Alligator mississippiensis: one gene and its partner. The protein of the gene in region 1 purifies or fractionates together with the protein of each later gene. This does not show direct contact. Links are inferred from orthologs where the notes say so. Each region holds a gene or a part of one and is shown in the gene's direction. Other genes may lie near its edges. The genes, in order: ACIN1 and SAP18.

Region 1 (7,089 bases):
TATGATGGAGTGGCATGACTGTGCTGCGATCACCACTGCATCACACATTTCCTGTTCGCTATTGCCTGGCACTGTCATGCTATAATCACTGGTGTGATGTCATTTCCTGTTCACTTTTGTATGGTACCATTGCTGTGACCTTCCCCATGATGTCACTACTGAGTGGCGCTGTCATGCTGCTGTCACTGTTGTGATTCTGCTGTCCCGGACTCCTTCACACTGGGATCACTGTTGTGATGTCATTACCCATGCACTGTTCACTTCCTGTGGCCTTTGAAAGCTCATGAAGATCTGCGCCAGTTAGTCTCCAAGATGCCATCCTGCCTCTGCTTCCTGCCTGTTCACCATTGCATGGCACAGTTATGCCACAATTGCCATCGTGGTGTCACCAACTCCCCGTTCACTATCACGTGGCAGTATGACGCTGATCACCACTGTGCAATGATCCCCTGTTCACTATTGCCATCGCTATTCTGGGCTCGTCATGGCCGCATCCATTCTTCACCGTTTACTACTGTTGCATTGCACCATTATCCCACGATGAAACCATTCTGCACAACAGTGACTTGGCGTGTGTTCTTGTGTGGCACTGTGATTCTCCCATTGCTGTTGGCGTGTCCCAGCTCTCATTGTTCACTAGTGGGTGGCCCCATTATCCAGTTGCCATCATGGGGTCACGCTTTTCTGCTGTGGTCACAATCATGGACTCTTCGCTGGTGGTGAGTGGTGATCTTGTTCTGTCATCGCCATTGACATGCCCTAGCTTTTGCTGTTCACTATTACGTGGCTATGTTATTCTCTGAGCACCACTGTTGTGTCATGCTTCTCTGCTATGGCATTGTTAATTGACCAGCATCCTGTCCCCATCGTTCACTATAGGTGGGGTGGCATTATTATTCTCTGATTGCTATTACCGTGTCCCAGCACTTGCTGTTCACTATCAAGTGGCCCCATTGTTCTCTCTCACTTATCTACTGTTCACTTGCGTGTGGCATGGTTAGTCTGTGACCATAATCATGCCCCAGCTATTTGCTTTTCTCTATTGTGGTGTGGTACTCTTATTCTGAACACCTCACTATTCACGACGGTTGTGTTGTATCATTATCCCATAATGAAAACTGTTGGTGCTGGTCCTCTCCTGCGCTCATGACTGTTGTGATGCATGCATCTGCAGCTTCCTCATGGTTTGTTCTGTGCTCACAATTGCCCTGCCCTATTCACTCTTGTTCACCATGGCTCCATGGCACGCTCGCTCTGCACTCATGCCTGTTGCATGCTGCTCACTTGTGCTTTCAGGACACGACTGCTTTCTGAGCATAGTGCCTCTGTCGTGTTCACTATTGTCTGCTCGCTATTGTTCCTCATGCAAGGATATCCCTGTTGCTTGCTGTTGTGATGGGGCATCACTGCAGAGTGGGTCCTGTATGCTCAGCCACGGCCCCCCAGACTTGGCGCTAGTGACCAACCCTGGCCCGGATGCCTGGGTCCTATTCTTTCCTTTGGAACAATTGTATCTCAGACAGCAGGGTTCCCTCCCTGGAGTGTGAGACCAGACCCAGACTCCTGGGTCCTGCAGAAGCTGGGTTGTGTGCTGTGAGAGAGCTGTCACAGATGCCTGGGTTCAGTGCACCCTACCCTCCCTCCCAAAACCAGGGGGTTGTGTAAGGCCGGATGGTTTCCCGTGGTCGGTGTCCCAACCTCCGGCCCGGTGCGGGGGAGGGTAGTGGGGGAAGGTGTGTGGGGGAAGGAGGGAGGCTGGGGCACCCCTAGCTGGGGAGCTCCATATTTGCCCCCCTCCCGCCTCTCTACCCCCAGGGCTCCAAGCTGCCCCCTCCCCCCCAGGGCATCCCCTCCCCCCAAACCACGCCCCCCCCTGGGGCAGGAAGCAGCTCAAGGTGAGTGGAGCTGATTACGGACTCTTGAGAAACAGGCCGTTACCCCGGGGCCATGGCGTAACCGGGGCCCCCCCAAGCGCTTGCGAAATCCCCCTCACCCCCAAGCCCTGGGCATGGGCACTACTGGGCCCCTGCCTCCCCATGGTCTGCTGGCCTGAGGACCACCCCGGCCCTATATCTAAATAGGCCCCACACCCAGCCCCCCACCCATGGCTGGTGTCCCCCAAGCTGGGCTCAATAGTGGGGGTCCCCACATCCTGAGACCTCACATGCAGGGGGGGAGGAAGGCTGACTGCCCCTCCCCCATGCAGTCTCTAGTGGGACAGGGACCCACCCCCAGCCAGAAGGGACAGCTGCTGGGGGAGGGGGAGCCCCTGGGGTTCATGGTGTCTCTGTCTTACCCTGCCCCCCCTCCAAGTCCTGGGTTTGGATAGAGCTAGGAGAGAACCCAGGAGCGCTAGCTCTGCTCCCATCCCCCACTCCAAGCCAGCAGGCCTCCCTCCTTTCCCAGACCTGGGAGAAAGAACCCAGGCGTCCCAGCACCCCCGACCCCCACCACGCACACAAACACAGACTGATTCCAGTCCACTCCCCTACCTGAAGCGAGAGCCCAGGTGCCCGGCATCTCCTCCCATTGCAGCCTTGAGAAAAGACCACACGGGGGTGCTGTGCACCCATTCATGGCCCTTTGTCATTCCTAATCAAGCCAATGTATTCCTGCTCCTCTTTCCCTCCTCTCTTTGGACTCTGGAGTCCCTAACTGGGGTCCTTCTTTCGCAGGGGATACCCAAAGTGGGGGTGAGGCCATGCACTCCACTCAGTGCTCAGTCACTTCCTGTAGGTCTTAGGTAAACAGGGGGCTCGGGTGGAATCAAGGAGATCCCAAGGAGGAGGGTGGAGATCCCTTAGGACCCGGCCCCACTGGCGCCTCATGGCTGGTGAATTAAGGTAAGCCCTACATAAATGAAGGGCAACTTCCTACAGGCCCTATGTACACAGGAGTGGTTCTGGGGAAGCCAGGACTCTGCTGAAGATCCAGCAGGGGTGTTACTGGGCTCTTGGTTGCCCTGATTGTCAGCTTGTCAGGTCTAGAGAAACAGGCCCCTTCCTACAGGTCCCATATCAGTAAAGTGACTTCCTGTAGAATCTATGTAAATGCAAGTGGCTTTGGACAACCCCAGGCTCTGAGACCCAGGGTGGGGACTCCTATTGATCCCCTAAGCTGCCAACCCACACTTGGCCCCAAACAGGCCAACTTCCTGCAGGCCCTATGTCAACAGACAGCACCCCTGCAAACACAACTGGCTTTGATGGAATGAGGACACCACTTGGGCCCCAAGGGCAGAGCAGGGGTTTCTTACTGGTCTATTGGTTCCCCAAGCTCCCAACTTCCTAAGGCGGGCGGCAACATGCCAACTTCCTGTAGGCGCTACTTCAACAGAAGAGGCTTTGATGAAAACGGGGGGCCCCATCTTGCGACGTGGGGGGTAATGTGTGTGTGTGTGGCACTGAGTGGGCTCTTCTGGCTGCCCAAGCACCCAGCTTCCTGTTGGCTGCATGTAAATGGGGAACTTCCTGTAGGCCCTACACAAACAAGGGGGCAACTTCCTGCTGGCCCCATGGAAAGAGGGGACCCGGGAACTTCCTGTAGGCCCTACATACACAAGGCAGCAACTTCTTGCTGGTCCCATGGAAACGGCCAACTTCCGGTCTGCTCTACTAAGTAGGGGGGGTCTCCCTCTTGGCTTCGGACAGGCCCGAGCTCGTCCGGAAATGCCCGAAGAAATCACACCAAGGGAACCAATGGGCGCGTTCCGGCAGGGCCCGAAGCTGCTCGAGCACTGACGGAAGTAGCCGAGCGCTTTTGGCCCTCACTTCCGGGTTGGCCCGAGCTCCTTCCGCCCCCCCTTTTCCCTTTTCCCTGAGTCGCCCCCGGAAACTGCCGAAGCTCACTTCCGGGTGTGCGGGGCCGAGCGGAGCACGGAAACCCCCGAGGAGCCGAGGCGCGGGCGGAAACATCCGACGCGGGCACTTCCGGGTGGGCGGAGACAGCCGAGGAACGCCGGAAAGGGCCGAGACCGGGTAGCGGTGAGCCGAGCGCGGCCCGAGGCGCGTCCGGAAGGTGCCGAGGCTAGTGCGGAAGGTGCCGAGCGGGTCCGGAAGCCGCCGGAGCGGGCGGAGGGAAGGCAGCGGCGCCACACAAGATGGCGGACGGGGAGGAGGTGACTCTGGACGGGAGGCCGCTCCACATGCTGCGTGTCGCAGACCTCAAGGCGGCTCTGGAGCAGCGCGGTCTGGCCAAGAGCGGCCAGAAGAGCGCGCTGGTCAAGCGGCTGCGCGGGGTGAGGCGGCGGCGGCGCGAGGCGGCACGGGGTGCAGCGCGCATGCGCCCGGGGAGCCCTCCCCCCCAACCGGCTGGAGTGGGGGGCCCGGGCGCGGCGGGCGGGGGCAAGTGCGCATGCGCGGCGGGGCGCGGGGCTCCCCCCGAGAATGAGGGGGTCCAGGGGTGGGAGGGCGTGGGGCCGAGTGCGCATGCGCGGGGCTCGCAGGGCTGGGGGGATAGGCCGGGCCCTGTGGGGCCTAGGGGCCGTGGGGTACTAAAAGTGTTGCTGGGGACTGGTGGGTTTATAGAGTTGGGGGCTGTAGCCTGTAGAATGCATGGGGGGCTGGAAAAGGCTGCAGGGGTCTAGGGGTGTTGCAGTGGCGGGGGGCTGGCGGGGCTGCAGGTGTCTATCGGGCTGGGCATTTCTTGCAGAGTTGCAGGGCTGGGTGGCCTGAATGGTCCCGGGGGTGGGGGCTGCAGCCGGGGAGGTCTGTAGGACTGGAGAGGGTTGTGGAGGCTGCAGGAGTTTGTACAGAGTTGGGGGTTTGCGCCTGGCTGGTCTGGGGAAGTCTGTGAGGGGCTGGGACTTTGGGGGTCTGTGTGGGCAGGGGTGCTGAAGGTGCCCATGGGAGTTGCCTGCAGACTTGGGGGACTGGGTGGACATCATAGAAGGCAGTCTGGATGTCCTCTATTGAAGAGAAAAATAGAGGATATAAAGGCGCATAGGGTTTTGTATCAATAGAGGACAGAGTAGCAGGAAACTGGAATGTCCTTTACGATGGCCACCCTAGGCCTAAAGGGTCTAGGGGGGGTCCATGGGGAGGAGGCTGAAGGTGTCAGGGGGGCCTGGAGGGGGTACATAAGTTCAGGGGCTGGGCCTGGAGGGTCTAAGGAGGCTTGGAGGGGCTATGTGGGGCTAGGGGTCCTGTAAGGGGTATTGGTTTGGGGACCTGGCTCCCCCAGTTGGTATGGCCAGACCCCCATGGAGGGCTGGAAGGTGCCAGGCCAGGGCCCACAGGCGCGTGGTTGGTAGAACACAGGGCTGCAATGTCCAAGGGCTTCAGCTGGGCAACAGGAAGAGCTGGAGTTGAGCGTGGGGGGCAGCAGGCTCTGGCATCCAGCTGACGGGGTTCTGGGTGGCAGGGGCTTGGGCATTGGCTGGGGCTGGGCAGGAGCAGGGGGTCAGATGAGGGCAGGGGGGAGGAAGATGTTAGGGCTGCTTGGTGGTGGAGGTAGGCCCAGTGGGGGAGTTATCTGGGGCACAGTGGATCTGTGGTCATGCACCTGGTTGTGGGTGGACTAGGCTGGATGGGGGAATGGGTCATTGCTTCTGTGGGGAGGAATGGATGGGGAAGGGTGAGTGAACCTGGGGTATGGGTTGGATTGGTGGGAGGGTTGGGGTTGTCTTGAGGCTGGATTGGATTGGGGAAGGAGGGGTTTGGGGTTGCCTTGGGGCACTTTGTTGGATCGGGGGGTTGGGGTGGGTTGGATGAGGGGGGTCGGGATGGCTGCAAGCTGTGGGTTGGATTGAGTCATGAAGGGCGAGTCAGGGCAGATATGGTCAGCTGGATTGAGACATGGGGGAAAGGTGTAGAGATGGATTTACATGCTTCGTGTTCTGTGGCCTGAGGGTCAGCGTGGGTGGTGACGTGTGTCGGGGCAAGTATTGGATACGGATGGGTTTGGGGGCAGGTCAGAGCCTGGAGTATTGGGGCCGGGATCCTGGGTGAGTCGGATCATGGGTTGGGGTAGATACTGGGGGTGTGTTGGATTGTGGAGGTTTGGGTGGACACGGCTGCATTGCATTGGGTGCTAGACTTGGGGGTGGATCAGCTCAGGTCATGCAGGGCAGCCTGGATGGCATATGTGAGCAATCCAATGATGGGCACCGGGGGAGGGGGAGAAGGCACAGGGACCATCTTGGGGGCACATCTCTGACCCTGCCCTTTCCCTGCCCCAGGCACTGATGCTCGAGAACCTCCAGAAGCATTCAACACCACACACCACCTTCCAGCCCAACTCGCAGGTGAGAGGCCCCCTCACCCCCAGCCTCTCGAACCGCCAGGGACCCCAGCCGAGGGGGGGAAACTCAGGTGTCCGGCCTTGCTCACGCGTCCTGTCCCATCCCATCCCCCTGCAGATTGGTGAGGAGATGAGCCAGAACAGTTTCATCAAGCAATACCTGGAGAAGCAGCAGGAGCTGCTACAGCAGCGGCTGGAACGAGAGGCAAGGGAGGCAGCTGAGCTGGAGGGTGAGTGTGGGGCTGGGGCAGAGCCTAGCTGTGGGGTGGAGGAATGGGTACTTCCAATTGGCTGGGGCTCACATGTCTGCTCAGCCAGTGGGCATTGGGCTTCTTCGGGGCCTGACTGCAGGAGAAATAGGTTCTTATGATTGACTCAAAAGAGCCCCTCCCCCATTGTTTCCATTCCTCCCTTCCCAAACAAACAGAGATTTTCTTTTGGCTGGAATCTCTCCAAGCCCTAACCAGCGGGAATATTCGTTTCTTTATAGTTAGTGCCAGAGGGCAGCAGGGAAAGCAGGGCCCTGTGATTGATTGGGCACCAAACCTATTCATTGGGTATCTGGTTTTATCATTGGACCCTTCCCAGCCTTGTTTTTCTAGTCACTGATGTGGATGTTGCCACCTAGACTAGGAGGAAGGGGCTGGCATGGCTTTAGGTCAAGTAGCAGCCCAGTCATGGGTCCTGGAAGGACGTTTAGAGGGGAGGGATCCAGAAAGAGGAAGGGTTGGCTTGTCTAGGGGAGGATGAACAGTCTAAAAACCATGCTGTGGGATTTGCTCTGAGGAGCTTTGCATGACTTGGAACTCAGCAGCAGAGTCTGGAGCCTTGGGACACATGGAAACCTGT
Region 2 (7,206 bases), on another chromosome or scaffold:
GGCAGCCACCAGGTCCTCCCTCAGCCTCCTCTTGCTGAGGCTGAACAGATTCAGGTCCTTCAGTCTCTCCTCATAGGGCCTGTCCTGCTGCCCTCTCACCAAGTGGGTGGCCCTCCTCTGAACCCTCTCCAGGCTGGCCACATCCCTTTTGAAGTGCGGCGCCCAGTACTGGACGCAGTACTCCAACTGCGGTCTGACCAAAGTCACATAGAGGGGGAGTATCACCTCTCTGGCTAGGACCAGGTCCAGCAAGGCATTACCCCTATTGGGGCTGTGCACTTCCTGGATAAGATGAAGGTTCTGTAATACAGCCAGGAACCTACGCGAGCAGTCAGACCTGGCTGTCTGCTCCTCCCAGCAAATGTCTGGGTAGTTTAGGTCACCCATGACAATAACATCCCTTGACCTAACCGCCTCCATAAGCTGACTGGAGAAGTCCTGGTCTAGCTCTTCCCCCTGGTTGGGTGGTCTGTAGTAGACACCCACTGTAAGGTCCCTTTCGCCACGTCTCCCTTGTAGTTTGAACATAGCTGTGCTGTATTTGTTGCAGCTGTTCTTTTATGATACCTGATCCTAAGCATACATTCCTTAAGTTTTGCAAATGGAGGTCTGTGTATTAAGGCCTAAACATGTATTACTGGGCCAGATATAACTCATTTTAACAGTGTAATGAGTTGCATTGTTGTCTTGGAAATTCCACCCTACAGATGGCAATGATGTTGAATTACTTCCTTTGATAATTCAAGTGATAATTATAACTTCATACCATAGGGTTGGCTTCTTTGTCAATATTATCTCTCACAAAAGGAAGGGAGAGGAGCGAGGGTACACTAACTTAGGTTTTGTTGGTTCTCTCGTCTTATTTTAGCAGTGGTATAAATCAAAATTAAAAACTCAGTTTGTATTGATATTACATTACAGAGAGCTAGAGATAATTAAAAAATAAACTGGGTTCTTTTTTCTTCTTTATGATGTGTGTAAAAGACCTGAAGGTAGGGAAGGAATTTTAAATTTTTTTTTGACTGTTTGGCCATTTTGTTTGACTGTCCTGAGTCCTAGAAATGCAAGTGCAAAAGTACAAACTGTAGCTCTACACCTTTATGCATGTGTATTATAATAATCAATGATGAGATCACAGGCTACTTTTAAAAAATGCACAACATATTTCATATATTTTCCAGTAGTGTTAGGTACCTGATTCAGATAAGCGCAAGTACAGGCTTATTCAGGGAAGCACTTTAGTTTATCAGTGCTTTAGATATGTAGGTATTGCAGGAGCACCCTTGTAAAAATGCCAGCCCCTGTTGCTAAACAGGAGACATAACATAACTAGGTTCATTTATTGCATCTCTCTAAAGCTCTGGTTTTGCTGGAATCATGCACATTCTTAGCTTTATGCTTTGAGAGTAGTTCTCCTTACAGAGTGCATAGTTAAGGAAGAGTATAAGCCTTTGCAGGATTATCATAAATGTGTGGTAGGTGAGGAGGCACAAAATTGTTACAAAGAATGATCTAGAAAAGAAAATATGCTAGACTATGATGATAATGGAATGGTTCTTTTAATTTTTTCTAAATCAACTTGTAAGTGTGAAGTTTTTTTTCTCACCCTCTTGAGCCTAGTTATCATCACTACTATGAAGATATGAGCGTAGTTATTTTATTTCTGATCCTCATACCAGAAACATACATTTATCCTGTTTCTGTGTTCCACTTGGCAGAGCACAACAGCTGATCTAAGACTGACATGATGCAATGTTAAATTATTGGAAAAACTAGGGTATAAAATAGATAGCATATGGACTTGGTTGTTCTAGTCTGTGATATTATGGGAACATTTTAAATGATTTGTTGAAATCCAATTTATTTTTAAACTACTTGTAGTTAAAGCACTTTATTGCTACATAGTTATCTGCTGTAGACATCTGTTAAAATCTTTACCCCTTAGAGAATTTTGTCTTGTTCTAGAAGCATAAATCACATTAGCTTCTTATAAGCTTTTCCATATATTAGAAAATGTTGGAGATGATTTAGCCCCCAAAGCTTGAGAATCAATTTGCAAACATGAAACCGAGCAGAACAAATGTAGGAAGCTATTTCAGAACATCAGTTAAACTTCATCAGCAAGTGACAGAAGTGACAGATACAAGACTACTTAGTATATAGAAGTGTTTCTACATTTCCCATTTAAACAAGTCTCTTTAAAGCCTGTGAAGTCTACCAGTGAAGTCCACCAATAAATAACAATGATGCCTTAAGACAAAACTACCAGGAACTTGGCTGGATTCAGGTAAAAGGCAACATAATGTATTATACATTGCAAAACAAAAATGAAAAATATCATTGACAGCCCTGCATATTCTACCTACAACAGGGGTGGGCAAAATGTGGCCTGTGGGCCATTCTATCCAGCCCATGGGGCCCCTAAAAAGTTTAGAAAATTAATATTTATCTGCCCCTGGCTGCCTGTCATGCGGCCCTCGATGGCTTGCCAAAACTCAGTAAGTGGCTCTCCGCCCAAAATAATTGTCCGCCCCAGCCTACAAACTACCACTGCCTTGAACCCACAGAGGCAGGCTCAGAAGCCTATTTAGTCATTTGTCAACATTTTGTTAACTATTTCACTGTTCATCATGGCATGTAAGAGAAGAGAAATCAAAGAACTGCACCATCCACTTGGAATGGAATTTAATGTGGATGCCTTTCCCCTGGCCTTTGAGAGAGAACTGGTGTCCTGTGACTCCTACTAGCATAACTAGTGGTGGCAGCAGGGCACCTGCCTTGAGCATTCACTTCGAGGAATTACCAAAACACCCCCATCCCCAGAGCCTTTGCTAGGGTAGGCAAACCCCAGGCACAGAAGCCTGGCAGGCCCCTGGGATTTTTGCTAAGGGAGGTACAGCTTCTGGCTCAGTAGTGTAGCGGGTGGGGGGGGTTGCGCACAAGGCACCGGGAGCAGCCCCTGGGCAGCCTGTGCTGTGGGGGCAGCCAGCACATGACATCCAGCTGCAGCTCCTTGGGGCTATCTCAGTACCTTGTTCACTGCCCAACCCCCTCCAGATACGTTCCTGGGCAAGGAGCTATACTTCCCATGGCAACGTGCCCTTGGGCGTACGCCGTTCTGCTCCCCCCCCCACACATACAGATTGGGTGCTGGCCTGCCCCCCATTTATCTTGCTGGGATCCTTTGACCCCAGCTGACTTGCTGCCCCTAGAGTGGGGGGCTGGACTCAAGATCTTCCAAGGTCCCCTCCAGCCCTAATGTCTATGAAATCTATGAAATCCTGCAAAGGCTTCTGGGCCTGGGCTGTGCTTGTCCTAGGAGACTCCCTCAGGGGGTCACTGGTGCCCCTGCTGTGGCTGGTGTGCGGGGAGCTTGCCCTTCAGCTACAGCAGCAGCTGACACCACAGCATGGGGAGGCTGGCGCAGGCAAGACACCCCTCAGCCCTGGTGCACCAGTTGCTGGCACTCCGCCCAGGGCACGGCAGGCACTTGTGACACCTCTGCTTGCTCCCATGTCACGTGTTGAGGCAACAGGCCATCACGGAGGACGTGTGAGGTCCACATGAGCCAGCACTACCCCAGCCACCCTGAAACCAGCTGCAGGCTATGTGCTTCCCTGGTGAGTGGGGCCTCTCCCTGCTCTGCTGCCTGCCTGCAGGCTCAGGAGCACGTTGCTTGCCCCCCCCCCCCATGCTTTCCACCAGGCCCCACCCCCTTCACGGCCAAACCACGCCCCCTTTGGGCACGAAACCCCACCCAGCAGACCAGGTCTGTCCCTGTAAACTGCGCATGCGCCGAACCATCTCCCCGTTTGCCACTGTGAATTGCTCATGCGTAGAACGATCCTCCCTCTCCCCTCCCTCGCGCGTGCGGACGCCCGCCCCGCCTTCTCTTTGCTGCGCATGCGTACGATCCCCATCCAGCCTCCCGCGAGCTCTCGCGAGAGGGGCAGTTGAGGCTGCACCCCAGACATCCGGGTAACTTCCTTGGAGGCCGGAGCCGAGATGGCGGTTGAGTCTCGCGTCACGCAGGAGGAGATCAAGAAGGAGCCGGAGAAGCCCATCGACCGCGAGAAGGTGCCGGCGGGGCCGGGCCGGGCGGGGCGGGGCGGAGAGGGGCCGCGGGCGGCATTGACGGGCTGTGCTCGCCTTGCAGACGTGCCCGTTGTTGCTGCGGGTCTTCACCACCAACAACGGACGGCACCACCGCATGGACGAGTTCTCGCGCGGCAACGTGCCCTCCAGCGAGCTGCAGATCTACACCTGGTGCGTGCCCCCCCGCGGCCCTGCCCGCCCCGCGCCGCCTGCTGCTGACTGGGAGTCCCCCCCCCTCCCCGCCTGTTCTCGGTTCAGGGGGGAGGGAAGGATCAGCGGGGGCTCGTTCTCGGGGCTGGCGCTGGAGCTGGGCAGGTGTATTGGAGCCCCCCACACCTGGGGGCTGGATAACCCCCTTCCACTCCCACCCCCCTCCCATTGTGGAAACAGCAAGGGGCTGGGAGGCGGTGCAGACAGATGTCACAGAAGACGCTCTGCCTTCAGATGTCTTTATCTGACCCCTCATGCAGCGAGGGTTCAGGTTTTTCCCCTTTTCGGCCATTTTCAAAGCAGTCTGCGGCCATGCGCTTGTGTTTGGTCACGGCTGTTGCCTGCTTTCTGTGTCCGCGTCGGATGAAGAGTGTCACTTGTGTCTGCGCTCTTAGAAGACGAGAGCTGTGTTAGGAGTCTTGTTAAGTGTCAGGGCTAAGCCCTCCTTGTTCATGGAGTTGGGGGGGAGGGAGGGAGGGTTGGTCAGTTGCACCTACCCTAGCAAAGACTGATGGGTTCCTTGTGCAAGTTGCCTGACATCTCTCTCTCTCTCCCTCTTTTTTTTAGTTATTTTTTTCACTTCCTTAGTCTCTCTTGTAAGGGTTTAAAAAACAATACAAAAATAAGTGGTTTTATTGCTGTCAGCTGAAGATCCCTTTGTGCTCTGTAGTGTATAAATGTATAAAACCAGGTCAGTGCCCTAAAGAACTGTGTTCTGAAGTAGACTAGAAAATGGGTAGAGAGGTCACGGCAGTTTGGAGCGGAGCCAGGGTTAGACCCCAGACTTTCTGAGTATGAGATCACTACATGTTTGGGGGGTGGGAGGGAGGGGATATCCTAGCAGGTGTTCTAGTTACTAGTGAGTACTCATCCTGGACATGTTTTGAATACTTTGAATGTTGAAAGGAAAATACTTCAAAACCCAAAATACTTAACCACGAAATGCTTCTTGTGTCATTTAAATACATAAAAGTATTGAGTTATGCAAGAGAGAGGTGTTTTTAGAGTTGTCTATGATTTAGACAAAAAGTCTCACAGATGACATTTTTAGTAAGTGTAAGATTTTTAAGAACTTCAAATAAAAAAAGAAACCCTCCCCACCTTAATGATTTTTTTTTCTTTTTAAAATCTAGGATGGATGCAACTTTAAAGGAGCTGACAAGTTTAGTGAAAGAAGTCTATCCAGAAGCACGGAAAAAGGGAACACATTTCAATTTTGCCATTGTTTTTACAGATCTCAAGAGACCTGGTTATAGGTAACTGACTGAAGTCTTATTTGCAGTAACAGTTTATGTTCCATGTTGTATGAGAGAAGTTCTTCATAGTAACAGAGTGCATGGCAATCGCTTGTTAATATTTGATTTTTTTTTTTCAGTTACTATTCCTGTTTCTCTTTTCTAAAACACTGAGAAGTGTTTGCCTAAAGATGTTGGTCACTAGATTATCTGCCACCCAGAATACGCGCCTGTAGATAGGAGTGGAAACAAAAAGGCTGTTTCTGGTAGTAAGGGTAGTAACTGTATCACCATCAAGAGTTTGCTCTTAGCACAAATTTATTTTTTTTAATTAAAACTGGATAGGGACAGTTTTTATATGAGCTCACCAGAAACTAGTTGAAAAAGCAGGGGCTTGGGTCCTGCTATATTTCTTGCATTTTCTTTACCACTTCTCTTGTGTCTAACTTGCCAGATACTTCAAGCTCTGACAGGGGAAAAGTTGATGCAACTTTATTTACTTATTTTATGTCTAGTGTTGTATCAGAGAAACAGCTAATACTGTATTAAGAAGGGAGGCAACGTCTTTGTATCCCACTAACTGAGGAAAAACTTAACAGTTCATCCCCTTCAGATCCTGTTTAGTCTGCAAATCTCTCTGACATTAAAAAGAGACTGACTTGCTCTTTTGTTGTGTAATGAAATGACGTTTCATATCTTCCCTTCAGGGTGAAAGAAATTGGCAGTACGATGTCGGGAAGAAAGGGCACAGATGATTCCATGACGCTGCAGTCTCAGAAATTCCAGATAGGGGACTACTTGGATATAGCAATTACGCCTCCAAATCGGGCACCACCCCCATCAAGCCGCATGCGACCATATTAAAGTGTCATTTTTTTGTAGATGACTGTATCTTCCAGTGGGTTTCACATGCTGTAGGAAACAGGCCTTTTTTATTACTATTGCTAAGCAAGATCTGAAAACACTTCTAAGCCTTGACAACAAGAGTTAAATAATTAATTTTACTGCGTGAGTTTAAAAGAAACAGTATCTGAATCTGCTTTGTTATCTCTTCTTTCCTAGCTGTTATGATATGAAAAGTGAATAGAAATGTTCAGTGTTTCAAGATTTATGTAAAATGTGACTGAGAGCTTAGAAGTGCTCTTACCATTCTGTTAAAAGCCATGTAGAGTGGAATAACATTATTATTGTTTTGAACATGTTTCTGAGTTTGAAGACTAGATCAGGCCTGATTTAATGGTGGTTGAGCTTGATTAAAAACAAACCGCTCACAGGAGAGAGAGTGCTTTTCTTGACTGACTTGCTACCTAGCAGCATGTGAACAGTGGCATCAGTGGGAGAATCCTTGTGTATGATTACTTTCCAGAAGTAAGTCTCCAAACAACATTTTGTTTGTTGTTTTTTTTTAAAGAGTAATTATCTTTCCTTATCATCAAAGCAAACACGACCTATAAAAGTCTAGTTTTACTAATGCACCTGCCCATTTTAAAGGAAAAACAAGTATTCTTTATTTTTAAAAAAGCTTTCAAATTTTAAACCTGTGTTGCACATCTAGCAGTCTCTTGGGTTATTGGCATAACTATTGATACAAGCAGCCAAAGATTCCTTTTTGTGCCAGGTACCAGAACTAAGCAAGGAACCAGTCCCTCCTTTTACTTTTAATGTT

Evidence for each region.
Region 2: the proteins of ACIN1 (region 1) and SAP18 fractionate together in Homo sapiens (co-fractionation; 7 studies listed by BioGRID and IntAct, with this or other methods). This does not show direct contact. The link is inferred for Alligator mississippiensis from reciprocal best matches to the Homo sapiens genes ACIN1 and SAP18.

What each region holds. Positions count from the first base shown.
Region 1 is NC_081830.1:7,377,749-7,384,837, reverse strand, and holds the start of ACIN1 (apoptotic chromatin condensation inducer in the nucleus), read left to right. Parts: upstream 1-3,976; 5' UTR 3,977-4,099; coding exon 4,100-4,237; intron 4,238-5,758; exon of another isoform or gene 5,759-5,944; intron 5,945-6,178; coding exon 6,179-6,244; intron 6,245-6,358; coding exon 6,359-6,470; intron 6,471-7,089.
Region 2 is NC_081824.1:433,379,358-433,386,563, reverse strand, and holds SAP18 (histone deacetylase complex subunit SAP18), read left to right. Parts: upstream 1-3,958; 5' UTR 3,959-4,005; coding exon 4,006-4,077; intron 4,078-4,156; coding exon 4,157-4,266; intron 4,267-5,438; coding exon 5,439-5,561; intron 5,562-6,247; coding exon 6,248-6,404; 3' UTR 6,405-6,816; downstream 6,817-7,206. UniProt on the Homo sapiens protein: Component of the SIN3-repressing complex. Enhances the ability of SIN3-HDAC1-mediated transcriptional repression. When tethered to the promoter, it can direct the formation of a repressive complex to core histone proteins.